Linked DNA regions of Drosophila melanogaster. The protein of the gene in region 2 interacts with the protein of the main gene of each other region in a pairwise test. Each region holds a gene or a part of one and is shown on either strand. Other genes may lie near its edges.

Region 1 (4,577 bases), on a different chromosome or scaffold from region 2:
AACACTATAGAACTCAAAACCGTACACATAAAAAATCGATGTTTTAATACAATAATAATAATAACACAAAAAAGAAGTGCTCAGTAAAATATTATTCATGTCTTTATGTAATTAAGAAATTTTTACTTAAAAGAGCAGATAGATCTTATAAGATTTCAAAATTTTCCTCCTTATGCTTGAATTTAATCATAATATCAGATTTAAAACCGATCATATTGTGTTTCTGTGTAGCGATCGGAAAACTGAGAACAGAGAATGGAGCACTGAGAACTGGGGAATCGTAGAACCGGAGAACCGGAGCTCCCAGCACGATGAGATGAAAAATTCTAGAGAGAGGCGGGCGTTTTTTGTAATAGACGATGTCTACGCTGATGACCTCAGTTAAAAATAAATAATGCCTTACATTGTTTGGAATTAGTGGCTGTTTCGTTACTCCAGTCCGTAGATGAGATCTGCATCGAGATTCGAGATTCTGGCCTTAAGTTCAGGGTGGCGCTCAGCGATCGGTGATCATGAAGATGCTCTGGTGAGGGGTTGGCGACAATAAGACAAAACATGGGGCGCCCAAACAAATCATTTTGTCAACTCAGCTTGTACCCGGCAGCTGGAGCAGAGACATAGAGACATGCATACATATTTGTGTAAATTCTTGTACGACATTTATCACACACGAAATTGATGAACCTGCCCCGCCTGATAAATGTTTGCGAGCTGCCGAACAAGGGGAAAGCGATTTTACTAAATCAGGGAAAATCTGGGCAGAGATTTGCTTCTAAGCTGCTGGATTGGGTGTAACATGGTTTTGTTTAATTAAAAATCAGAAGCGAGTTTTTTACGGAAGATGTTTTAGGATGGGAGATGTCTTGTTTATTTTGTTTATGTTTTGAATTTCATATCTAAATAAATGAAATAATATTAAAAATCCTAACTGCATGTAACTTATAAACATTGAATTATCAATTTTTTTGGGTCTTTCCCAACCAGAAGATGAAGAACGCCAGGCCAGTCGAAATATTGTTTCAGTTTTATTTACCTGAAATTTGCTATTTTATCAAGCACCCAGCACAAGTGTTTCGCTGTGAACTTATTTACATACTTATCGGTACGTATGTGGAGTATAAACAACAAAGGCAGAAACAACGAAAAACGAGTTTCTATATATAAGGTGGCTATGCTGTAAAATAATAAAGGGCGGGCCGTATCAAGAGTTGTTGTTATGGTAGACAAAACGGGTCGCCAGTTTCAGTTTCTCGGGGGTTAAAACGATCGACATACTCCGATGACGCATTTTAGAACCGGAAATGCTACGCCTGCCATTTGGCTGAGTTCTCAATAAGTATGCAAATCGGATTCGGATTGTTTGTGCACTTTTCGGTGATTATTCCCATGAATTAAAAACAAACGCTGGAGGGAAAAAGCAGCACTCGACCAGAGTGTAAACAAACTACAATACATAGCGATTATGATTTATGAATCAAAATAAAGCGCTGACAATTCAAACAGCAGCGGAAATGGTAAAGAAAGCCGATCAGAACTCGTATAAGGCCAATAAAAACGATCGCAGATAACTCGAACGCGTCGCGTAGATTATGCCAGCGACTAACTAACTGTAAACATATACTATTTAGGTTATCACTATCTTTTTCAGTTCGCAGCTGACAAGATAAAGTTGTACCACAAAGTCAAAGACTAGAAAACCGAGAAACTCAGGTAAATTTTGGGGAGTGAAAGTAAGTGGCAAACCCGGCGACAATCACAAGATGTATCTAAAACTCTGACGTTTCGTTCTAGGAAGCCCCGAAGCCACCCATAAACAAGCGACGTCTGGATTTCTCGAGATCTGCAGATCTTTATGGACCTGCAGATAAGCTGGATGGATTGTTTATCCTACCCCGAAGATAAGCGACATGGGGTCCCGAAGCTCTATTTACCTTTTTAGATGCGTTTGCGGTTGCTGCTCGCGAAGAGAGTATCTGTAGCTTTGGGTTTTCTTTATTTCTTTGATTTCACAACACCATCGGAGATTCTATAAACACCAAATAGAATTTTACTTTCGTATATTGCTTCACAGAACTTTTCTTTTCGTATAAATCAGATGTGTAATTTCTCTTTTATTTTCGTTGTTTCGTTTATTTTTTTATTTTTCTGAATCACTTGTATTTATTTCTCGTTTTCAACAACAACATTTCGTCATGTTTTTTTCTATGGGGCGTACAAAAAATGTAGTAAACGTAATCGAAAACAAAAGCACGCGTTCTCTTACTCGAAAGAGAGAAAGAGACGGGCGGTGAGGCAGAGAAAGAGACAGGGATAGAGATAGAAAGGGGGAAACAGAAACACACGCACACTACAAATAAACAAAAACGGAACCGAACCGCAAAGAAAACCGATTTTTATGCACTATTTAATTTTATATATTTTTCTGCACGCAGTTTTTATTTTTACTTTTCTGGTTTCGAAAGATGTTTATTTTTTATTATGGGAAGTGTTAAAACCGTGCGAAATTCAAGCCCAACAAACGATGCGTTTGTTTTCTTTGGCACTGCAATTTCCGCGCTACATTTTCGTATTTTCTATTTGCTTTTCGAAAAACAAGAGATTTCTTTATTGTTTAATGGAGAGTGCCTTTTTAATCGCGGTTGTGTGAGTGTGCCTCTGTTTATCGCGTTCGTTATTTGTTGTTGACTCCGAAAAATTCGTTCACACCCGCGCTCATTCATAAAACGTATCCAAAACACACGATGTCACGCACTCACAGTTTTTTAGCTTATGTTTCTGAAAATGATTATTAACACTTGATGCAGTATTTTGCAATATATTTACATCTCTTGACCCGCACGTTTTTTCGGATCCTAAATTCAATGTTCACCTTTTTCGTAAAAACCTGAGAACTGCCAATAAACAACGGTTTTTTGGATTCAGTATGTTTTTAAAAAATTTGAATAACAGAGGAGCGCTTTAAATTTGCCCGACTTTTCCCGGTCGAGGTGGAAACCCAACTGTTGTATCCAACAAACTCGTGGTTGGATCACCCTGCTTACCCGCTTTGTTTTCAATGGAAATGTTAAGATACAGCGTTTTAGCGGTTAACAGACGCTATTTCTATGGGAACTCAAAACGTTCGCTTGCTGTTCACATGGAGTTAACATGCGCGAGACCCGCGATTACCGGTTAACAGAGCGAGCTAACAGCAAGAATTATGAAGAGAGCAACATGTTGCGCTCAAACTGCGCCAACAGCTCAATTCGAGCCGATCGGAGCGATCTCAAACGACCTCAAGCATGTTGCAGTTCGAGAGGAAATCCCCTAGAATTGTTTATTGAAAGTAAAAACAGTTGGAAAAACTCCAAGCATATGGATGTATTTGTAGCTCTTACACACCCATTCGAATGTGTTTGTAAATTTACACTAACAAGCGGTGATAAAATCCCATGTTAGTCTTCTCTATGGCTTATTTAGTGTGTTTGGGTTTCTGATTTTATGACCCGGGCCTCATCTTTGTGCAGCCTCTTTCAGGCTTTATCGACTGGCATCTCCCTTAGTTCTTATCAGTGGGGCATTGTCTTATCTGCAGATTTATGGCCCAACGCTCATTTAATAGCCCGATTCCTGGAAGTCGACTTAACACTTTCGTTGTCTCAATTTGATTAGCGCCTGCATTGGCTTAACACTTTTTCACCCATAAAATTGTGTGAACCAAAACGAAAGCGAGACAAACTAACTGTATATAATGATAATGAAAAACTCACAAGTGAGCTGTGGACTATTTAATCACTTTACTTTTGTAACCTACTAAAACAAAACTAATGTTCCTAGTCAGAAGAACAAATTATATATTACTAATCATAATATAATCATGATTTAAAGCAACTTACGTTTCAAGTGCAATAAAATACTCAATAACCGGTTAGCAGAGTTCTACGATTTGTGTAAATGAATAATTATCTAATTAGATAGCTAAACTTTTAATTTAAAATCCTTCAAGTCTGTAATTTAGTTAAAAATACAGATATGACCACAGTTTGAAAACCATAAAGTTAATGGCATAATGAGCCTTTTGAATACCATTAATAATTTGTAGGAGTATAAGATAAGAGGAAAAAAATCATATAAACACCTCTAACTGGCAGTTAATTAGTTGCAGCTAATTGGTGGTGCTTAGTTAATAAATATTAAAACCGAAGACGTTTGTAAGGTCCAAGAATAAAGCACGTGAAATTATAAATCATTCTTATGGAGGAGAACGAACTCTTGTTCCGACCAAATTGTTGAATGAACCAAGACAGCTAACAACAATTCGTCAGGATTAGCCGTGTCAACTCTTTCCTGTTTTTGTGCCATCTCCTTATTTTTCCATTCTATTGGCTTTTCTCTTGCGTTTTCTCTTCTCGTTCCCTCCGCATTTCATAACGTTTTGAGGTGTGTTCGCCGGTCGGTCTCATCCTTATCGAAGGTGCGCATCAACGTCGCAGAGAGATATACCCATTTACCCATAACCATTCCCGACCCGATCTACGTGCTCGGGTTCTCTTGCCGGCTTTGAAATCGAAACTGCCCATTGTGTTGAAATCTAAGCG
Region 2 (5,437 bases):
ATGATTCGGATGCATACGACGGCTACCAACCACTCGCTTTGGATGAGGAGAACGATGCAGCGGATCCCGAGGAGATGTCCAGGGAGCAGGAGACCCCGTCCGCGGATAATGACGAAGATGTTGACCTGATGACTGCCCCAGTCACCCACGGAGACCCCAACATGCCTGCCATTGAGCCCGCTGACGTGGAAATCGAGAGACAAGTCTGGAGTGAACCAAGACCCAGGGAACTCCAAATGGATCTTGACAAAACTCGAACGGAACAGGTAAGACATTCCGATTTACAATTGCGAGACATGCCAGCAACTTTCATCCCGACACTCCAGATACTCAAAGCGATGTCCACTATAACGTTACCCAACATCACAGTGCCGGATTGGGCCAGAGGAGTGCCCGAGGAGCATTGGAAGCATGAGCTGCTGGACCGGATTAACAACCGGCACCATCCACCCGAACCCTCAACGTCGTCGTCGCGCGAGAGTCATCAGCATTCCAAGAAAGAATAGCGTTTGTGTGTATTTAGAAAAAAAGTTCTCCAATATATGTATAATTTAGAATGATCATAAGAAGTTGCTTGGCGGAGATCTTAGAACACAGCCAGCAGGGCCTGGCCCACAGAATTCACCTTGCTGAAGTTCTTGTCCTGCGGAGTAATGGTAAGTTCCCTCAACTTGTCCATCACATAGTCCACGGACACCACCTGCGCAATGGTCTCTTGGCCGCACGAAGTGGTGGTCAGGTTGCCGATGGCCTGCATGGAACGGTAGCACGCTTCCAAGTCCTTGGCCCACTTGAGCAGCTCCACAATACCGGAGGTGACCACATGACACACCTCCGACTTCGCCACGTCCAGAGTCTGGGAGATTGTGAGGTTCAAATAGAAGGTGGCCACGGCAATTTGCAGATTGGCACTGCCCGTCTTGATGGCTCCCACGAGATCGATGATCTCCGCCAGACGGGACATCACATTTTGCCGGCCGGCGGCGTGGCTCATGATGTTGGCCAGGCAGCGCACCACCATGAGCTGGTTGGGTGCCGAGCCGCTCAATTGAGGGATAACGGTCGCCAGGAAGTTGTGACTGTTGTTCAGGACACTGAAGATGGCTTCATTTCGCACGGCCAGGCGAAGGATGTCCAGCACGGGGAACTGCATGGACGCCGGCCACTTCAGCAGGATGGCCAGAGCTTCCAGGGAGGTCAGATCGAGCTCAGGCGATTGATCGGCGAGTTTGATTACGGCCAACAAGACCTCCTCTCCCACTCTTCCATCAGGTAGGCTTAGTTTGCCATTGAACTCTCTGCCAAAGAGATGTAGGGATTAGTTGGGGATTAGCTGAGAAAATATCTAAACCCACATCATTTTCTCTAGCACCTTCTTGGCATCACAGGTGTCGAAGATGCGGTAGTTGCTGACGGGAAAGTGTTTGTCGCCAGACCGCACAAAGTTTACATCCACCTGCGACTGAGCATTGCTACTCGCTGTGGAGTAACTCGAGGCTCCAGTGAAGGGATCCACATTGCCGCCGCTTCCCATATTGGTGTTGCTCGATCCAGGAACATAGCGGGAGCCACCAGTAAATGGATCCTGATAGCCGGTTGGCGCCTGCTCCATCAGCACGGGGCCTTCCGAGTTCTTTATAATAAAGTTGGCCACCTGGTCGAGGTAGGCCTGTGGAAGGCTATGGCGATGGATGAAGGTCTGGGCCGCCTGCCACGGATCGTCGCTGCGGTTGTAGGGCAACTTGATAGGTGGCTCCGTGTCGGAAATGTCCACGCTGAACACAAAGTCGTACTCCTTGCCCTCGTGCAGTTTCTTGCCGGAGTTCGACTGGGTTCCTCCAGTTGCGCCAGTTACATCGCCTACCAAGTTCCAGTTACCCAGCGTCCAGGTGTAGCACTTCACGGAACCATCGGCATGGCGCACCATCTTCGTTTGACCCTCGCGCGTTCCATTGGACAGAAGAGCCTCCGGACCTGGAAGGCTGAAGAAGGATAACCATATGTTTAGTTCTATAAGACAGATCCACTTGTAGCATACTCAGTTTTCTTGACGCCACCAATCTCCTCATTAATCTGAGACTTTCTAGTTGCCACTACTAAGTCGAAGGCTTTAAGGACTGCTTCACTTGCTTGGCGAGCAGGAACGTGGCTGAATACCCTCACCACACCATCGCTACAGCCGGTGACAATGTCCCCGTTCTGTAGGCACGTTACGGACCACACTGAAATGCCGGGATGGATGATGGGTGCTCCCAGCTCATCGCCGGTGATCACATTCCACATGCGCAACGTGCTGTCCTCGCCGCAGGAGACCACCACTTGGTCGCCCAGAGCCTCATTGCGAGCCATGGAGTAGATGTAGTTGCTGTGTCCGTTCATCTCGCGCACGCACTCACCATCCTCGTTCCAGAAGCGGAGAACAGCGTCATTTCCGCAGGAGAGCAGTGTGTTCGCATCCAGTCCCATGACACCCCTCACGCAATCCGTGTGACCCTTAAGCAGGCGCAGCTTCTCGCCTTTCGCGTTCCAGTAGTAGATGTTCCTGTCCGCACCACCAGTCACATACTTCCGCTGCTCCTTCAAGGTGGCCACCGCCCAAACCGCCGCCTCGTGTCCCTCTAAAGCAACGAAGGACACATCACCCGCCTCGCTGATGGTCCACACCCGAGCGGTCTTGTCCCAGCTGCCGCTGATGAGGCTTCGTGGCTCCAATCCTGCCGAGAGAGCACACACCGTGGACTCGTGACCCTTGAGGGTCAACAGGGGCACAAAGCCGTCCTGCTTGTAGATGCAGATGGTGGCGTCGTTGCTGGCCGTGCAGATCCACCGCTCCGACTCCAGGAAGCAGATGTACGAGATGAAGTTCTTGTGGTCCTGCAAAGTAAGGCTTTCCAAGTACTCGTTCCTATGAGGATCGAAGGCAGTTTAGTATGTATGTAATTCATAGCGACCAGACCCAGCCAAATCTCACCCATGGGGCTTCCAGACTTTGGTGCTCTTGTCCCGCGAACCGGACAGAATGGTCTGGCGACCTTCCGGAGTTGGAGGTCCCACCGCTACCGCCCGCACATCCATGCTGTGGCCCAGGAGCTCGCAGCTCAGCTTGTAGTTGTCCAACGATGGCTCCATGCTTGGTGTCCTGATCTTCCTGTTATCCCGTTCAAGCAGCTGCGGTCAAGAAATGTTACTTTGTTTGCCGGCTGTCAGCGATTTTGCCATTCGGTGCGAAAAAATCGCACACTCAGATAGTGGTGGACCGATCCGATGGGTTTGAGGTCAATAGACGATAGTTTCTGAATATTCTAACGGCCAAATTTATAAATTTAAAAATAAAAAAATTCTGGGTATTCGGAATATGTAATGTCCTTAAAAATTGTATATCTAATTTTTAAATAGGTCGAATACAGACAATTATTGTACGATAATAATTTGTTTTCAAAATGTTCGATATCAAAAAGGTTCATGAAGGTGGTAGTGTTGGTAAAGTTATCGATGCTCCGGAAAACTATCGAGAACGGCTTGATAACATTTGCCATCTCTACGCTTAAAAGTATTGTATTATTTTGTTTACATTTAAATGGGTGGCAAAAGTTATTATTGCGACTACTGCTGTTGCTTTCTGAAAAACGATCTGAATGTGAGGAAATTGCACAATGGTGGTATTGCACACGCAATTGCAAAGAGCAACTATTTGAAGCGTTACGAGGGTAAAGCTTTTGTTGCACGATATTCCCGAAAAAGCTGAATTTTCAATATTTGTAGATCCCAAAAAGATTTTGACTGAAGAGCGGCAGAAAACTCCTTGCAAGCGATACTTTGGCAGTTACTGCAAGTTTGAAACATATTGCAAGTTTACCCACTATAGTGGCGATAATCTACGGGAACTGGAGAAGTTGGGTGCGTGATAAAACGCAGATTTAAAACGAAAAATAACTTCTTCTTGAAAACTTTCAGTTCTCGCTAGAAAGAAGAGAAAATCCCGAAAGAAAACCAACAAATGCAAGAGATGGCCCTGGAAAACTCATCTGCGAAAGGGATTACCCCCTTCCTTGCAACCCATTAACCCGGAAAAACTCAAGCAAACCGACTTTGAACTCAGTTGGGGCTAAATATATTTACAGAATGCACACTTTATGTCAAGTATTCAGTATGCTAATTACTTTCTCCATGACGCGCGCCACTTTCAGGTTGATGCGCAACGTGCGAGCGTATTCGTAGTGATACGATTTCGGGGAATGCCCGCTTAAGTTCTCCTCGTCGGGATCGGCCAAGTGCGCAAGCAGGAAGTAGCACAAGTGTTCTGTACAAATAGGAAACTTTAAAGCTTAATCGGACTTCTTCAACTACTAATATACTAATAGACAGCAACCTACCCTGCTCCCCTTCCACGGCGTAGAAAAGCGGTGGGTTTCCGCCCCTCGCCTCGGATGCATTGATGACATCCCGCTTATGTGCACGGTTCTTTAGCAACGTCTTGTTCAGCTCCAGCCGTTCGCAGGCACGATCGTAGTACTTGGCGAAGCCCTTCTCGTCCCACTCATTCGGATTCGCTGCCTCCAGGGTTCTCCTGTACACCGTTTCCCCCAGCTCGCGCTCGTCTATACTATCAAGGATTGCCTCGACAACAAGGAACTGGTTATTGCGCACTGCCAGGTGCAAAACTGTATAACCATCATCGTTGGTTAGCAGAAGACTGTTCAAATCGATTCTGCGCAACAGCAGCCTAATGGACTCTATATTTATATGGTTTATCACCGCCAGATGAAGAGCTGTGTTTGAGTTCTCGTAGAGGTGGTCGGTCATCATGCGAGCGTCCAGGATGAGCGATACAATCTCGGTGTCCGTGTCGTTCGTCAGCGCAAGTTCCAGGCAGTCCTCGCCGTCCCTGGTGAGTAGTTCGTTGATGTCCATTTTCGCGTGGCAGCACACAAATATCTGACGCTTAACGCCGTAAACATCGCCGTGCAGTATTTCCTCGTGAATGGGTCTGAAGTGCCATGTGAAAAGATGATATCATTACGATGATGATGGTCTTATTCGGCTAAATGAATACTTACAGCAATCCTTCTTCGGACATTATGTGCGACTTTCTGAATTCGTTGGCCATGATGCGTATAATGCGGTCCTCGGTGTTTCCGCTTATAAAGTTTTCCACCCGGGTCAACTCATCGGAGTTGAACGATATATCCGACAAGGTAGAGTTTCGGCGTACAGGGGTTTTATTCGTGATCTGATATGATTCGAAGTTTTGCGCTTGCTGTAAGAAAGATATTTATAATAAAATCGTATATATATTTCCATTCGAGATTTATGAACTTAGTACTTTCCAGGAGGAACTACTACATCATAATAATACTTGTACTTACGGTGACATCCCTTTTCTTCCGTTTAGTGATCACGGGCGTCAGTTGCTTCTCCTCGCGCTCCTTAAGCGCCA
Region 3 (7,065 bases), on a different chromosome or scaffold from region 2:
TTGACTAGATTTATTACACCTATAAAATAATCCTTATTCTAACGGATATAACTAACTAGTTTAAGTAAAATATTTGCCTTACGCAATAGTTCCGCCAACATGTAAATTCTTTCCAAACTCTTGATTGACTTCGGGAAGTCCGTACTTCCGTTTTAATGTGAATTATTCGAATGCAAATTGGCGGTCGACAAACCCGTGACCAAGCAAATGGTTATTATGACTTTAGCGGATTAAACCCTTTTTTTTTCCTGATCGGACGGAATGAAACCCGAATGCGTTTCGTGGATTTTTTATAAGCCTTTAAGAGTTAAACCCCTATACATTTCTATTGTATATTATATATATTTATAAGGTTCATAAAGAGTAAGCCAAGGTATTTTTCAGACGCTTGGGTTAAATGAAGGGTTGAATTTTCCGCTAACTTGTGGTGATAGCCGGTTTATGAATGCTTATGACAACTTCAATATGTAAAAGATTAATTTGTTTTGTCACATTGGACAATGTATTTAATTGAACTAAGAAAACACGGAAAGAAATACATGTATTTTTTAATAACAGAATTGTTTGTAGTTTGATTACAAATTTGAATCAAATGAAACTAAACCTTTGCATGTTCTCTTCAGACCATCAAGTTTTGAAGTTTAAATTCTACGGGTTTCTAATCTCTAAGAACTCATCTTATTTCGGGTAAAGGAACTGCCCCAATCGATGCGGATAGCATTTTGGGTTAAACGAAATGTTGAAAACGGAACCCAAATAATTCTTTTTAATTCTTTGTTATATTTATTAATATGAATTTGATGCTTACGTTACATGTAACTAGGTTTCACTTTATCTCTTCATGATCTTTCACATTTAGTATTCAGAATGTATTGTCGTTTGATTTCACATACATAGGTGTGTACATTAAGTATTTTATAATTGAAAACGGTTCAACCAATTCAAGCAATTTCGATAACGAATAAAACATAAGGCGGGCCATTTAATTATAAATCATATATAATTAAATAATCACATTGCGTTTAAATCGTAAAATAATGATATTACATAGTATTCATTTAAAATATCCATGTCATGGTGTGTTTGTAGTTCGAAGGTATCAGCATATCAATTTACAAACTTTCGAGGCATTCTCATGGGTTGTTTTGAGATTCTTAGAGTGTGTGTGTATACAAATCGAAGCTATCTGAACTAGGTATGTAGGGTTACGGGGCAGGTCTTTGGGTGTTGGAGATGTTTAAAAGTATTTCAACAAAATACATTTAAGTATGTTTATATAGTTAGTAGTTATATGAGATTCCTGTCTGGTTTTCACTACTTTTGCTCATCCCATTCCCCTTGCGCATCTTCTGTCGGCCAGCTTACTCGCACATGTATGGATAGTTGACGTCCCGCAGCGGCACAAAGGTCTCCTTGATGGACTGCGGAGAGGTCCAGCGCAGAATATAATGTGGTCCTCCGGCCTTGTCATTGGTGCCGGACATCCGGCCGCCTCCGAATGGCTGCTGGCCCACCACGGATCCAGTGGACTTGTCGTTGATGTAGAAGTTTCCAGCGGCCATTTTAAACTCCTGCAGAGCGCACTTGACGAAATCCCTGGAAGCATACGTTATGAACTAAAGATAACCCTTTGTATAGAAGTCTCTTACTCGTCCTGCCCGAATACTGCTCCGGTTAAAGCAAACTTGGTAGAGGTGTGCACCAGTTTCATGGTCTCAAGGAGGTCCGACTCCTTGTACACATAAATAGATAGCACGGGACCGAAAATCTCTTCGGTCATGATCCGGTCCTTGGGATCCTTGCTGAGTACAATGGTCGGATTAACGAAGTAGCCCTTGCTGTCTGAGTAAGTGCCTCCGGCGAGAATCTCGAGGTTCGGGGATTTTTTGGCATGCTCAATGTAGCCCGTAATGCGTTTAAATGCTTTGTCATCAATCACAGCCGACGTGAAGCTGCTGAAGTCTTGAACGTCACCGATCTTCAGCTTTGCTGCCTCGCATACCAGGCCCTCCTTGATCTGCGGGTTAGGGGTTAAACAGGTCAGCGTTGCGAAAACATCGCAATCTGATGCTTTTTAAACTTACCTGTGGCCAAAGGGATTCCGGCACATACATTCGCGAGCAGGCGGAACACTTCTGGCCGCAGTACTCAAATGCTGAGCGTATCGTGGAGGTCACCACTGACTCAACGTCGGCTGATGCATGTATAAAGTGGAAATTCTTGCCGCCACACTCACCAGTCAAGCGAGGAAAGTTCACGTAGTTGTCAATGTTGTTGCCCACCTGCTTCCACAGGCGGTTAAAGGTTCTGTCGTCGGAGGAAATGGTATTGAACGGGAAAATCAATAGACCGACAATTACTTACGGCACAGAGCCGGTGAAATTGATGCCTGCCAGGTGGGGACTGGCCGTAATCGTGTCTCCAAACACGGGCCCATCGGCGGGCACAAAGTTAACGACTCCATCGGGCACTCCCGCTTCGCGCATAATCTTGAAAATAATCCAGTTGGACAGCATGGCAGTGTCCGAGGGCTTCCACAGCACGCCGTTTCCCTGCGAAAATCGAAGGCGGTTGCTTAGTTAATTGGTATTTCCAGCCATTGGCTAGTCTTACCATCAGAGCTGGCGTGTAGGACAAGTTGCCGCCGATGGCCGTAAAGTTAAAGGGGCTGACAGCGGCGATGAAGCCATCAATGCCACGATAGCGCAAGGAGTTCTTCGTGACCTTTATGTTCTCGCTGATGGGCTGGTATTTAGTGACCTCCTTCAGAAAATAGGCATTCATTCTGCGAAATAGAATTTGTATTTATATTGAATATCATAATGAGGAAATGATTGCTTCTTCCATTGGGAAAATCCTTTAAAAAAAATCGATTGGAACAGATTGTGTTCTGGTTCTGCATGTTCCTTGTAATAAATTATGGGGACACTCACCGTATAAAGTCGATAAGCTCCGCTGCTGAATCGATTTCCGCCTGAATCGCCGTCTTTGACTGACCCAGCATGGTGGCGGCGTTGAGATCCTGGCGGTACGTCGTTGCCATTAGGTCCGCTGCCTTCTCCCAGATCTTCAGACGGTCTGCAATCGACACACGGTCCCACTTGGGCTGTGTTTCCACCGCCGTTTTGATGGCCTTCTCGATAAGCTTCTTGTCGGCGTAGTAGAAGCTGGCCAGCTTGTGTTGGTGGTCATGGGGCATGACCTGGTATCGAACCTCCGGCGTCTTGTACTCCTTGCCGCCGATCACGATGGGGATGTCTTCGCAACTCGAGGCCGTGCCCTTTAGAGCCTGCTCGAGGGCCTTACGCTCCTTAGAGTCCTTGAGATATCCCAGGATTGGCTCATTGGCGATCGGGAAGTCCTTCAGTTTAAGGTCCGGTATAACGGAACCCAGACAGCGTGTCGAACTGATAAAAATGAAGCGCGTTCAATGTAATAAAACTAATAAACTACTAGCTAGTGTATGCATAATATGGTTACTTATACATATTGTGTCAGTTGTAAATTATGAAATATAAGGATATAACCTCAGGCATACCTTTTCAACAAGCTCTGCTGAAGACTAGAGCATCTGGAGGAGGAACTTCGCATCATTCGCAACATCTTGTCGGGATTTGGGGCCTGTCTCGTTCGCTGCCGGATTATATAAGCGGTCTCTCAGATTCTTCGTCGTCGTCGGCTCGTACCACCTAGAATTTTGCTATCTGAGCGATAGGCCCGCGAAAAGAGCAAACGTTTGATTAGTATTCATTTATCAGCAACCTTGGCAATTCACTGGGGGTCCGCGTCAAGTCGCGTGATTTTGATAACCAGCCAAACGTGAAGCTCCCGACGACGACACACCCCCCAGATAAGGCGCAAAACAGAAACACTGCGAACCAAAAGAATGTGCACTTGCAAGAAATTCTAGAAGGTGCACTAACTTGGGCAGTTGGTCAACCGAGCGGATGACTGATTTATTTTCAGTTTACTTTATTATCGATAACCACGTTCCCTTTCCCATGCTCACACACGCACTCACACACAAGCGCACTCAGAGCGCTTTTTGCACAAGCAGAAGCTAAAATTTGACGAGCATCAGCTGTTCTGTCTACGAAGCGCACAGTGGGATGAGAGCGTGTCAAAGCTGGCACAATCTAGTTAATCGCAAATTAGTAAATTTATGAATGCTGTTTTATTTGTCGAGTGCCTTGAACGCTGGACTAAAAAATAAAAATTATCTTAAAAACATTTTACACTATGTTTAGAACAAGGCATTGCTACCCAATTCGTGTGCACTGTTCGTTTAAAAAGTGAATGTTTATTTGGCTCAGCTTGTGTCTCGATGAAAATTTAACCAACTGCCCAAAAAGCGAGATTGCAATCTTGTAATTTAAATTGCGTGCTGTTGTCTCTTTCCACTGTGCGGTGGCTACGGAAATTTCCCATTGCCGAAACCAGAAAGATGAAGAGAAGGTGGCTGAAGGGGATGTGGGCAGAAGTACATACGTATGTAGTTCTTGTGTTTTTTAACTGACGCTGCCTTGATTTATGAAATTAAGCGGCACAAATGCTGGGGAAGGGGTGCAATAGCAGCGAAAATGGTAGAGAATCGAAAAAACACCCCACGGTGCGCGTGAGCAGCCCCTGTGAGAGGGATAGAGATGGCTGATAGAGTGGGAGAGGAAGAGTGCGGGAGAAAGGTGGCGAATATGTGGAACAAGCTCTTTTAACGTAAGCATACTTTGGCTATTTGTCTTCCTCTTTCCACTCACTGCTTGTTAAGTGCTTAATAATATGTAACGATGAACTAAAGACATTGATATTAATGCGAAAGGAGAGGAAGTTTATGGAAACGCAGGGAGCGGGAACACCGAGAAATTGCCTTTGGAGGCCAAATGTAAAACAAATTTATTTACTGCTCAGCTGTAGATACACAAGCACACACACAGGCGCAATAGAATGCAGTCGGTTGGCTTTGTTTTTTTGCTTTTCTTATTGGCCCCAATTACGCAATACAATGTTTTTATGCCGCCTATTGGCCTCCGCCTTTTAAGTCGCCGTCCATCCCATTTGAACCTGCAATTCGACTATTCGGCGCTTTTCCACTGATTTCGGGCTTACTTTGTGTGAGTTTCAGGCGACGGCGGCGGAATTCGGCGAGAGCACGAAGTGTGGTGTGCCTTTGTTTTGTGTTTTGCGAGACTATTGGTCGGTCGGTCGAATTTGGACTTGGCTAACGGCCGGGAACTATCGGCAGACCGATACAATTTTGCCCCCCTTACTATCGTGCACCTTACAACACTGTCCATAGCTATCGATAAGGCGCCAAGAATGCACATGGATCAAACTTTGTCGATTTGTTATCACGAAGCAAAAAATATTTTTCGGTATATGGTTATATATGGGATCACAGCCTCAAGGCTTTTTTATAACTATTAAAACGACCAGATATGCGTACGTAGTTATTGACTCAAAGCTAAAAGCTGAGAAAAGGATCTAATGATCCCACAAAGAGTCATGGCAGCATAAACTTGGCGGAACATACATAGGGTCAAATGTGCTAAAAGACATACAAATTATCACATCAGTTCCGGGAGCTAATAAAATTATGGTGGTATACATGAAGGCACTAGTTAGGTGTACAATTTTTTACCAGGTACACTAGTTTTGGACACGTCATAAGAATAAGTCTTGACTTATAGAACATAAATATCATATTTATTAGCACTAACACACTTATGGGGTAGGATGACTTAACCGTATACCTATCACTAAACTATATCAGGTTTCGCGCTTCCTAGCCGTAGTATCCGCTTCCACCCGCACTGGCTGTTGCGAATCCTCCACTGCTGCTGGCGTAGGCCACGTCTAGAGGAAGAAACAGGTCCAAAACACTTGTAGATTACTTGTGTGCTAGGCACCGAGGTGCTATCAGTCGGGAAACTCACTCATGCCATTGCCGCCGTAGGGATATCCTCCATAGGGGTATCCGTACTGCCCGTATCCACCGTACATCGAGTACGGGTTGTAGCCGGGATACGAGTAGTACGGATATCCGCCGTAGCTGTAGGGGTATCCGTACATGCCGCTGCCGTATATGTTCCCGTATCCCGATCCCGCTCCCGCATTAGCGCCGCCGTAATAGGGATAACCGTAGTATTGGCTCGCGGATGGCTGCAGGAAAATGGCGACCAGGAGCAAACCGAACCAACAACATGGAGAGCGGCTCGACTGTTTCACTGACATGATTTTTCTGGCCATGTTTATCGTGTGTAATCCTCGAACGTTGACTGAATGCAAAAACCCCGGCATTAACTGATTTTATAGAGTTTGCCGCCGAATGTTTGCAATTTTAAAGCATAAAACGCTTTTTTAATGGAGCTTAATCGGGCGCCCATCAGCGGCTGCTCGGTTTGCTCGTTCGTGCGTAACCCAGCCGGCGTATACGCAATATTTTTAAATCCCAATATAAACGCTCTGCAAACGTATGTATTTAGTGCAAGTTAACAACAAGAGAACAAAACAAAACAAAACTATTTGGCTCTTTTTTGCCTATCGCCGCGATTACTCATCCCACATCTCGTCTGATTTGTGATTGCCGTTTTGCTATCAATTTAAATTAGTCAGTCAGCCGCTTTTTTTGCCAGGGGTTCACATTTATTCTGCGTAAACACAGTCATTAACCTTAAAATTGGTTGATGGTCCGCCTAGTCATGTGCGATGCCAGTGGTGCTTTCCACTTCTTTGAGGTTCATTGCCGACCTGGACCGTGGTCAATGCTCATTCACGCCCTTCGGATGAGGTCAACCGTAATAACTCCGATTCTGATAATTGGAATCGTATTGGTTTTCGGATTTTCCACTGCGATCAGCTTGGTCGTTGGCCGAGAGTTCAGTTTGAGGGACTTTTGGCTACAGAATTTTGGCCTTGGTGGTCATGCATCGACGCTGAAACTATTCCACAATGCGAATCTGTCGGTTTGGAAAGTGATACTTGAGAACTGCATAATGGAAAGTTCAATGTACTTATAGATTAATTTATTCTTCTTGGCTATGAAAGTAGGCTTACAACTTAGTAATTTAG
Region 4 (7,863 bases), on a different chromosome or scaffold from region 2:
ACGAAGCCTGGCTTGGGGACCAACTGCGCTTTAAGTTGATTATATATATAGATTTATGTGCGAATATAATTAGTAATTAGTTTGGCTAATTGCTTGCAGAAATGTTAACACTTGGTTGGCTTTCGATCCAATTGCAACTACAATACATCGAACAATAACAATAAAATTCCATGCTACGTTAACTATAAATATGTAATATTCTTGATCCCAATGTTTTACTTTGTTTACTTTGAAATATTTTGATTTTAATTACTTTATAATAATACATATGTATTGGTCCAAGGTTTTTCGTTATTTTATATAATTTCATCAAATTTGTGAAATATTTTCTACATAGCTCGATTTTAGTTCACATGAGATTCACTTCTTCTCACCCATAAATATATTTATCATATTCCTCGATTCTACTCATTAATTTTAAATAAATATTCCATTTTGATGTCATAAAATGTTCCCTAAACAGATTCAGACTTTAGAGTTTCGAATTGCCAAAGAAGATAATCAAATGAAAAAACCAAAGAGTAATTATTTTTCAATTGCATTTTTAATTTTATTAATACACAAAACTTAAATAAAATAATAATGTTTAAACTCTACATACCTACAATACAATACGTAATAGTCATAAGTATAATAATAGATAATAATAATAATAGTACACAATAGTAATATTGTCGTTTACAGTTATTGTACAATGTAAGAAAATTCTGTTTTGTTTTCCATTTCATTTTTTATCTTTTCCGTTTTTTTTTTTGTTTGTTTTCCATTTGTTCCTTGCTCGATTGTTGTATCTATATCATTTTTGTTTAGAAATACTCTCTCTAAATGAAGCTTCCTATACCGGGAATACTATATCGCGTGTCTATATAGTCTAGGTAAATATTGTGAGAGGCAAAATGAAGATAATAATAATACAAAAACAATTTTTGTCTGAGTATACAATCGGTTTTTGTGTGGTACTTTGCCTACTAAGTGCGGATGTATCTGAACTTTGCTTTCCCAGCTTTTCACTTCACTTAATTCGCTTTGCTTTGCTTGGCTTGGCTTGGCTTTGTTTTCACATCACTTAAACGTCTAAAGATTTTTTGGTCCAATAATAGTTGCGGTGATAAATATGCAGGTTGGGTGGTGTATCGGGTGATCAACAAATAAATATGCTTGATTTTTGTGTTTTTTACCATGTGCGCGATTCGACAATTACAACTTTTCGATGACAATTAAATAAAAATTAAACAAAAAACAATAAACAAAAAATAAAAAATAATGCGCGATGCCTTAATTTTGGTTTAAGGATTACGTGTACGAGGGATTGTGCGGTATGTCAATTTAAAATTAATTTGTATAAATGAGACCGTTGCACCTGTATGTGTATGTTTGGGTGGTGGGGGTGGCTGGTGTTTTTTTGGGCGATGTTTTTGGGTGCTTCTATATATCATACATATATCTCCCCCCCATCCACTTAGAACGGGCGTCGCAACTTGGAGATGGCGTTGGTCAGATGCAAAATCTCCGTGTTCATCTGGTGCACCAGAGTCTCCAGCTTGTCGACGGAGTCCAGCACCTCGACGCGCTCGGTGTGCGGGTTGAAACGCACCTCGAATGGACGCGACATGGTGCTCACCCAGCGACGGAACTTGTCCTTGGCATCCTCGAAGCTCTCGGCCACATAGTAGATGGGCTGGTACTCCTGATCCTGGTAGGGCTGCACGGCGGTGGATGCGGGCTCGAAGGCGCGGTGCTCGCACTTGTCGCTGATGGCATGGAGCAGCTCACCGTAGGAGCTCAGGAGTCCAGCACCGTAGGCCTTGATCTGACCATGTTCCTTGCAGAGACCGAACTCAACAGTGAACCAGTATACCTGTAGAAATGAAATGGTAAGGAACCAATGAGTAAATAGGAAGGAAAATAAAAGCAAAGGCAGATAATGCAGGAAGTTGTATGACTTATAAGATCAAGGTTTTCTGAACTTAAAAACTTATTTAAAATCACAATTAAGTGTTTTGAAATGCATTAAATTGTATCTGTAAACTATATGAATAAAAAGAAAAAAATTATTCTGGCATTGAAGTTCACTTTTCCTCTTCGACTTTGACAGTGACTAAACAATGATCTTGGTTGCGAAAAAAAACTAGCTGCGTCATAGCTGCACTTGAGTCTAAGGTCGTTACATTGCAACTCAATTAGAAAATCAACTCACCGTGGACAGCTTCTCGATTTCTTCGTCGGAGGCACCCAGCGAGGCCAGTCCAATCTCCTGCGAGAACTGGGCGAAGCTGGGATCGGCCAGCAGGGGCATGTGACCCAGCAGCTCGTGAATGGAGTCGCTGTAATGGCATAGAATAATGCTTGTTAAAAGTGTGGAAAATGTGCTGGCATAAGGCAATTAGTCTGGTTAAATGAGCTGGGCAGCCTGCCGCAGTTCCTGTAGCCAATTTGCCTGTGTTCCAGGCGACAAAAGTTGCTTGGGAAAAGCGGAAAAGGAAACCCAACCACCCACACACACACAGAGGCAGGCGGCAGGCAGGCAGGCAAATGCAATTAGGCTAGGACAAAGAGCCTTTTTCTCCCCTTTTTGAAGTGATTTTAACCCCCTAGTAAAATATGATGATAGATACTTACGGCTCGGGGGTGTGGTATGGTGAGTTAACGTGGCGCACATACTGGGTGCTCTGGAAGATGCGGAAGGCCAAGGAGGCAAGGAAGTCCCGGGCAGTCAAAAGACCGGCGGCAGGACGGAGAGAGAATCCGGTGTTCTTGCGCAGAAAGTCGGACATCTCCTGCAACTGGGGCAGACGGGTCTCCACGAAGATCTGCTCATCCTGGAGCTTCTGGAAGGCGGCCCGGTACTCGGCACAGGCGTGCTTGGGAGCCAGATCCTGAACGGTCTTGAACACCGAGCGCCAGGTCTTGACCTCCACATCGGAGTAGTCGATGAATGGGATCGGGTCTCCGTACTTGTAGGCGAATGCGATCTCGGCAATTTCCTTGCGACGCTGGCGGTATACCTTGTCGGCGAATCCGGGGTGGTTCATGTCCAAATCGGGCTCGTACTTGGTCATCAGATGGTTGCAGTTATCCAATTCGGAGGCGTGCTTGGGGAACCACGGAGCCTTGACATTCAAGTTATTGTCGGCCATCAGATTCATGCTGCTGAAGGAGCCCGACTGCCTGAGGGAGCGGATCAGCTGCAGCAGATTGCCACGGGTCATGTCCAACTTGATGAGGACATCGTGGTCCACGCCCTCCACGCGCGACTGACGGGACTCCACATGCTGGACGGTGCCGTGGAAGGTTTCGATGGCCTTGAGGATGCGACCCAAGGAGGAGATGCCCTCCTTGAGGCGGACCACCAAAGCGGCACTCTGCATGGCAGCCTCGGCATCCGAGGATTCGGAGGCGGCATTGGCCAACAAAATCTCGTCCTCGGTGAGACCGTAATCTGCAAAAGGGCCAAAAAAAAGCGGGGATAATGTGATGGTTAAGGATGCAATCTTCCAAGGCTTAGGGTCACGTAAACGATAAGCGAGCTACGTGGCAGTGGCAGTGAGACGGTTGCCAGGCAAACGCATTTCGTACTTGTATTAAGTCGAGCGTAACAAATGAAAAAGGGAAATGCGACATTTCCACAGAGAGAGAGAGAGAGAGAGAGAGAGCGAGCGAGCGCGCCCACTCACAATTGTCCGTGTGGCTGAGTGCTTTTCCTCTGCCCTGGCACTTTATCATATTAAGCACTTAAATCAATGTCGCACGCTTTTCAAAAGCCCCTCTCAGAAGTTAAGTACTACTTATGGTTGGCTGCTGGATTCTAGAACCCCCTGCTCACCGTTCTTGGTCGGCTGTTGGTTGCCTTCTGGCTCCTGCGACTGCGACTCCGACTGCTCCTGTTCAACGCTCTCAAACTCAACATCCTCCTCAACTAAAAGCGAATGAAATAAAAATAATAATAAAGCCCATGAAAATCATAATCAAAATCAAATCAAAGATAATAGGCTCAGAAAGAGGAGTAACTGGCATGGGAATTGAAATGGAAATGGATATTAACCTGGAACATATTCCTCCAAGGGCAGGTTCTCCAGATTGGCATGCTCGTCCTGGAGCTCCACATCTTGCTCGGAGGGAATGTGCTCCTGAGCCTGCACAATGCAATCTTCCAGGGAATCGTCTTTAAAATCATAAAAATAAAAACGAAGGCAAATAATAAATAAAGGGTTAAAATGAATAAGAAAAAAACGCAAATCTATGTCAAAACGAATAAAATGAAATAAAAATTGCAACTTTTTAAGTTTTTAATCAACAAGTAAAGCCCTAGCTGCAAAATTTCCCTTTTGATCCCAAATAGAAACCCTCTTTGGAGCTATTTTAGTGACCCACTTGTTGGACCCTATCCACTTACCATTTGCCTTGCTGCGGGCCTCCTCGAGGACGGTTTGTTTGGTCTGCTTGACCACCAGGGTCTCGAAACGGGCATCATCCACCAGGCTGCGACGGCGGGATGGATAGCCATTCTGGAAACGAAAGCGAAAAGATTGAAGTCCGTGTTAGTGACACTGGCAGGATGTGGAGCGGAAATTAGACGATTGCCTTGACCTTCAAGCCAGGGTGGCTTTCTTCGGCTCCACGCTTGGGTGGTGACTTTGAGCAGAGTATTGCGCAATTTTGAAAATATTATATAAAATGGTGTGTGAAAGCGCCGTCTTCAGATCTTTTTCTTTGAATAAAGCTGGCTATTCATGGAACTGTATTGATTGTGATTCAAAGCCACGAATGGTAATTTAATGCGATGTCGCCGCTTCGAAGCGGGCAGGTGCGAAGATAAATGATATGTGACTGAGAAATCGAAAATCCCCATGCGATTCTGGCGGGAAAAAAATGCAACTGGCGATCGTTAAAGGTTTTTTTTCTTTCTTTTTCTTGATGGGGGGAAAAAGGTTTCCATCACTTGCAGTTTTCACTGTCAGCTCGTTTTTTTTTTTTTTTGTTTGTTTGTTTTCTTCAGTTTTTTTTTTTGGGCCACCGCTTTGGCTGATGAAAGATGACCAACTCATTGAATCATTTATATTGATTTCATATTTTTTGTTTTGCTCGGACGCAGCATAAACATAAACAGAGACGAGTCAACAACAATGAGGCGCGACTGTTTCGGCCAGGCTAAGTGCATGGGGCCCAAAGGCAGCCACTTTCACTTATTTGTTAAATAATAACTTAACACACAACCCGTTGTGTCCGTTGGCGATTTGGGCCTTTCGATTTGGGCCGCCTGTTCTTAGAGGTGTGACTTAATGGCCAACCGAGGATTGAGTTTGGTCAAATTGAATTGGCGAAAAAGAAATGCGGGATCACAAAAATGGGCTCGACTACTGGCCGGTTAACTGGTTTTTTTTTGAAAACACAAAACCTTTAGATAGTCACGTAGACCAAATCTAGTCACTCATTTGCTTCTTTTTTTTTACAATTCGATTTGGAAATTGTATGTTTTGCTGGATTTTCGACTCACCTCAATACTGTAGGATTTCTTGATGGCGAACATCTCGCGGTTCTTTTGGGCTGCTGCAACGGCCATCATTTTTTTTTGTGTGTTTGGGTTGTTTTCGTTTGGGGTGAACAACAAAAATTTACGCAAAGTGTTGGCAAAAACACTTAGAATACTATTTGCTTATGTGCTTGGTTACGCTTTTCTTGTTTGATTTGCAATAAGCACTCGAAATGTGTTGACACTTTCACTGCTTATTGGCGATCTGGCTGGGTGGTTTTGTTTTTCAAGAAAATCGCTCCTGGTACTGAACTGTTTGCGTCTAGAATTGAGCTGGACAAGAACTCTCGACTCTCGAATTCACGGCGGGATATATAGATGGTTGATCGGTTGAACTTTAGCTGGATCCTTTCGCGAACTCGAAACTGATGTGGTGATGTGTATTATCCTTGTCAGCTAAATTGTATTACAACAAACAGAGTCAGCAAACTACTTGAGGCTGGGCACAAGTCTTTAGGGCGAATGATAGCGAATCAATGCATGCTTCATGTCGAGTTGCCGCCGCTTAAATACCCCCAGATTCCGATTCCGACGGCCAAGTTAACGAACGTTTCGGCCGATTGCCGACGATTGTTTGCTTCACCAAACGACGATGACTGGTTTTCGCATGACGCGACTGTGACGTAGTTGCCCAGCTGTAGCTGGGTTAAAGCCAAGATGCCGATGCCGTGGGGTTTCCTCTCACCAGCCAGCTAACCAGCTAGCCAGCCAGCTGAGTGGGTCGAGAATCGCGGGGCCTGACTCGACTCAACTTGGTCGACCAAGTTCAAGTGCGGCAACAGGCTAGAACGTCGCATTGGCCATGTTTTTGTTGCTCTTGTAGCTTGGCTAAAAAGCGGGGTTAACCATTAGCGCGTGCGCGTCAATCGGAATGGTGGTAGAATACCCCAAAAGTATTCAGTCAGTCGAACGGGAGTCATTTGAAAAGCCTCAACAGGTCATACAGAAAAAACCAAAACAAATCCAAACAAAGCGAAGCTAGTCCATGCCAAATGTTAAGCATACGCCGTGTGTGCACAGAGCAAAATAATGAAAATATATGACATTCTTACTCTGTAAGTTGTTTTAGGGAAATGTTTTTAACCACTAGAATTATTTTAAAGAAGTAGGTTAAAATTATTAAGAATGTTTTAGACAATAAAAGCACCTTACGTTTATGATACGTTCCATTTTTCTAGGTGTAACAACAGTCGAAGATCTCGTTCAGTTTTAGAACCCAGCAATTCGCATTAGATCCTGAATGACTCAATCGAATCGCGTCAGAACTAGAGCGGATGCTGAAGCGGATCGTATAGGGACCAAGTGAAAGTGAGCTGGAAAACAAAGTAATGGTAAACAGGAAGTACGGATCACATGGCTGCGTGCGTGCCCGAGATGTAAGTAGGTGGCACCCAGCCATATCGATTAAATTTTAAAAGCACATTTAACAACTAATTTGCATGCGTAAATGTAGCACATTAAACTAAGCCCGGGCGATAAGTACAGGCACATTACAATATCTATGGCATAATTGAAAGCCCCGTCAAAACATCTGGCGATTGGGATTTGCATATGGCAGCTGACGGATTACGAGACCGACCATATAGCAATCTATATAAATAATTATATATATATTCCTGTCCTGTAAGCTGATAACGTTGGCAAGGCTGCCGCCGCTTCTCAAATTGGACTCGGGCCGCCAATTCGAATGACATTTTCAGTGGCAGTGGCAGTGGCAGCATTATTTTCAATCGTGTTAGCTTTTAACCAAATTCAGTTAGCGGCGATGTCGAGATCGAAGCAAATTTGCCATTGATCTACATATGTGCACTTGTACTTGCCAACAATCCGGTCATCCTTGCAGCCTGCATCTAGCAACTAACTAACTAACTAATGCCGATGTTAATGCGGACCGTTCAAATTAGTAGATCGAATCGTTTGATTGAGCTAACGAGCCCGATAATGAGCTAACACATCACATATACGTCTATTTGCTTCGATCCGCATTAAGTTATTAAGGCATCTGGAGTAGCAAAAACATAATTATCGATCTGATAGATCCATTATACAAATTGGATCGATAGAGTGGGATTGGTGAGTTAATAAGTTTGTGGGAGCTAGGAAATACATTTGACAACATCGAAAAGCTTTTTACTTAGAATATCGAGGGTAATAATTAATAAATAGCACTTACTGGAAATAACTTAAATTATTTAAAAAATATAATACTATCCAACTAGCAGTAAACTGCGTACTATATTACCCATTAGTCACTGGCAAAAAAAGTTCCCACATTAGCCTTAATACCACATTCACATTCGGCTAAACATTTACTTCCGATTTTCGAGCAATAT

What was found.
Region 1: the proteins of Plap (region 2) and cv-c interact in a two-hybrid assay, tested with the Drosophila melanogaster proteins (one large-scale study listed by BioGRID).
Region 3: the proteins of Plap (region 2) and P5CDh1 interact in a two-hybrid assay, tested with the Drosophila melanogaster proteins (one large-scale study listed by BioGRID).
Region 4: the proteins of Plap (region 2) and ple interact in a two-hybrid assay, tested with the Drosophila melanogaster proteins (one large-scale study listed by BioGRID).

What each region holds. Positions count from the first base shown.
Region 1 is NT_033777.3:14,478,711-14,483,287, forward strand, and holds the start of cv-c (crossveinless c), read right to left. Parts: upstream 3,004-4,577; 5' UTR 2,870-3,003; exon of another isoform or gene 2,203-2,869; 5' UTR 1,932-2,202; intron 1-1,931.
Region 2 is NT_033779.5:1,166,657-1,172,093, forward strand, and holds Plap (phospholipase A2 activator protein), read right to left. Parts: upstream 3,710-5,437; 5' UTR 3,708-3,709; coding exon of another isoform or gene 3,578-3,707; 5' UTR 3,572-3,577; exon of another isoform or gene 3,525-3,571; intron 3,424-3,524; exon of another isoform or gene 3,303-3,423; 5' UTR 3,130-3,302; coding exon 2,972-3,129; intron 2,906-2,971; coding exon 2,039-2,905; intron 1,983-2,038; coding exon 1,356-1,982; intron 1,299-1,355; coding exon 587-1,298; 3' UTR 516-586; downstream 1-515. Other genes in the region: CG14341 (uncharacterized protein), read left to right, coding at 1-266, 327-506; CG31922 (uncharacterized protein), read left to right, coding at 3,578-3,707, 3,763-3,897, 3,955-4,109; charon, read right to left, coding at 4,137-4,300, 4,374-4,987, 5,058-5,257, 5,367-5,437.
Region 3 is NT_037436.4:21,836,128-21,843,192, forward strand, and holds P5CDh1 (delta-1-Pyrroline-5-carboxylate dehydrogenase 1), read right to left. Parts: upstream 5,230-7,065; 5' UTR 5,104-5,229; intron 5,072-5,103; exon of another isoform or gene 4,899-5,071; intron 4,001-4,898; exon of another isoform or gene 3,924-4,000; intron 3,705-3,923; exon of another isoform or gene 3,701-3,704; 5' UTR 3,604-3,700; coding exon 3,539-3,603; intron 3,408-3,538; coding exon 2,934-3,407; intron 2,786-2,933; coding exon 2,614-2,785; intron 2,553-2,613; coding exon 2,365-2,552; intron 2,308-2,364; coding exon 2,085-2,307; intron 2,018-2,084; coding exon 1,650-2,017; intron 1,597-1,649; coding exon 1,362-1,596; 3' UTR 538-1,361; downstream 1-537. Other genes in the region: CG14563 (uncharacterized protein), read right to left, coding at 5,780-5,850, 5,931-6,228.
Region 4 is NT_037436.4:6,713,511-6,721,373, forward strand, and holds the start of ple (pale), read right to left. Parts: upstream 6,016-7,863; 5' UTR 5,564-6,015; coding exon 5,495-5,563; intron 4,506-5,494; coding exon 4,394-4,505; intron 4,163-4,393; coding exon 4,043-4,162; intron 3,917-4,042; coding exon 3,824-3,916; intron 3,440-3,823; coding exon 2,620-3,439; intron 2,325-2,619; coding exon 2,198-2,324; intron 1,859-2,197; coding exon 1,460-1,858; 3' UTR 1-1,459. UniProt on the Drosophila melanogaster protein: Plays an important role in the physiology of adrenergic neurons.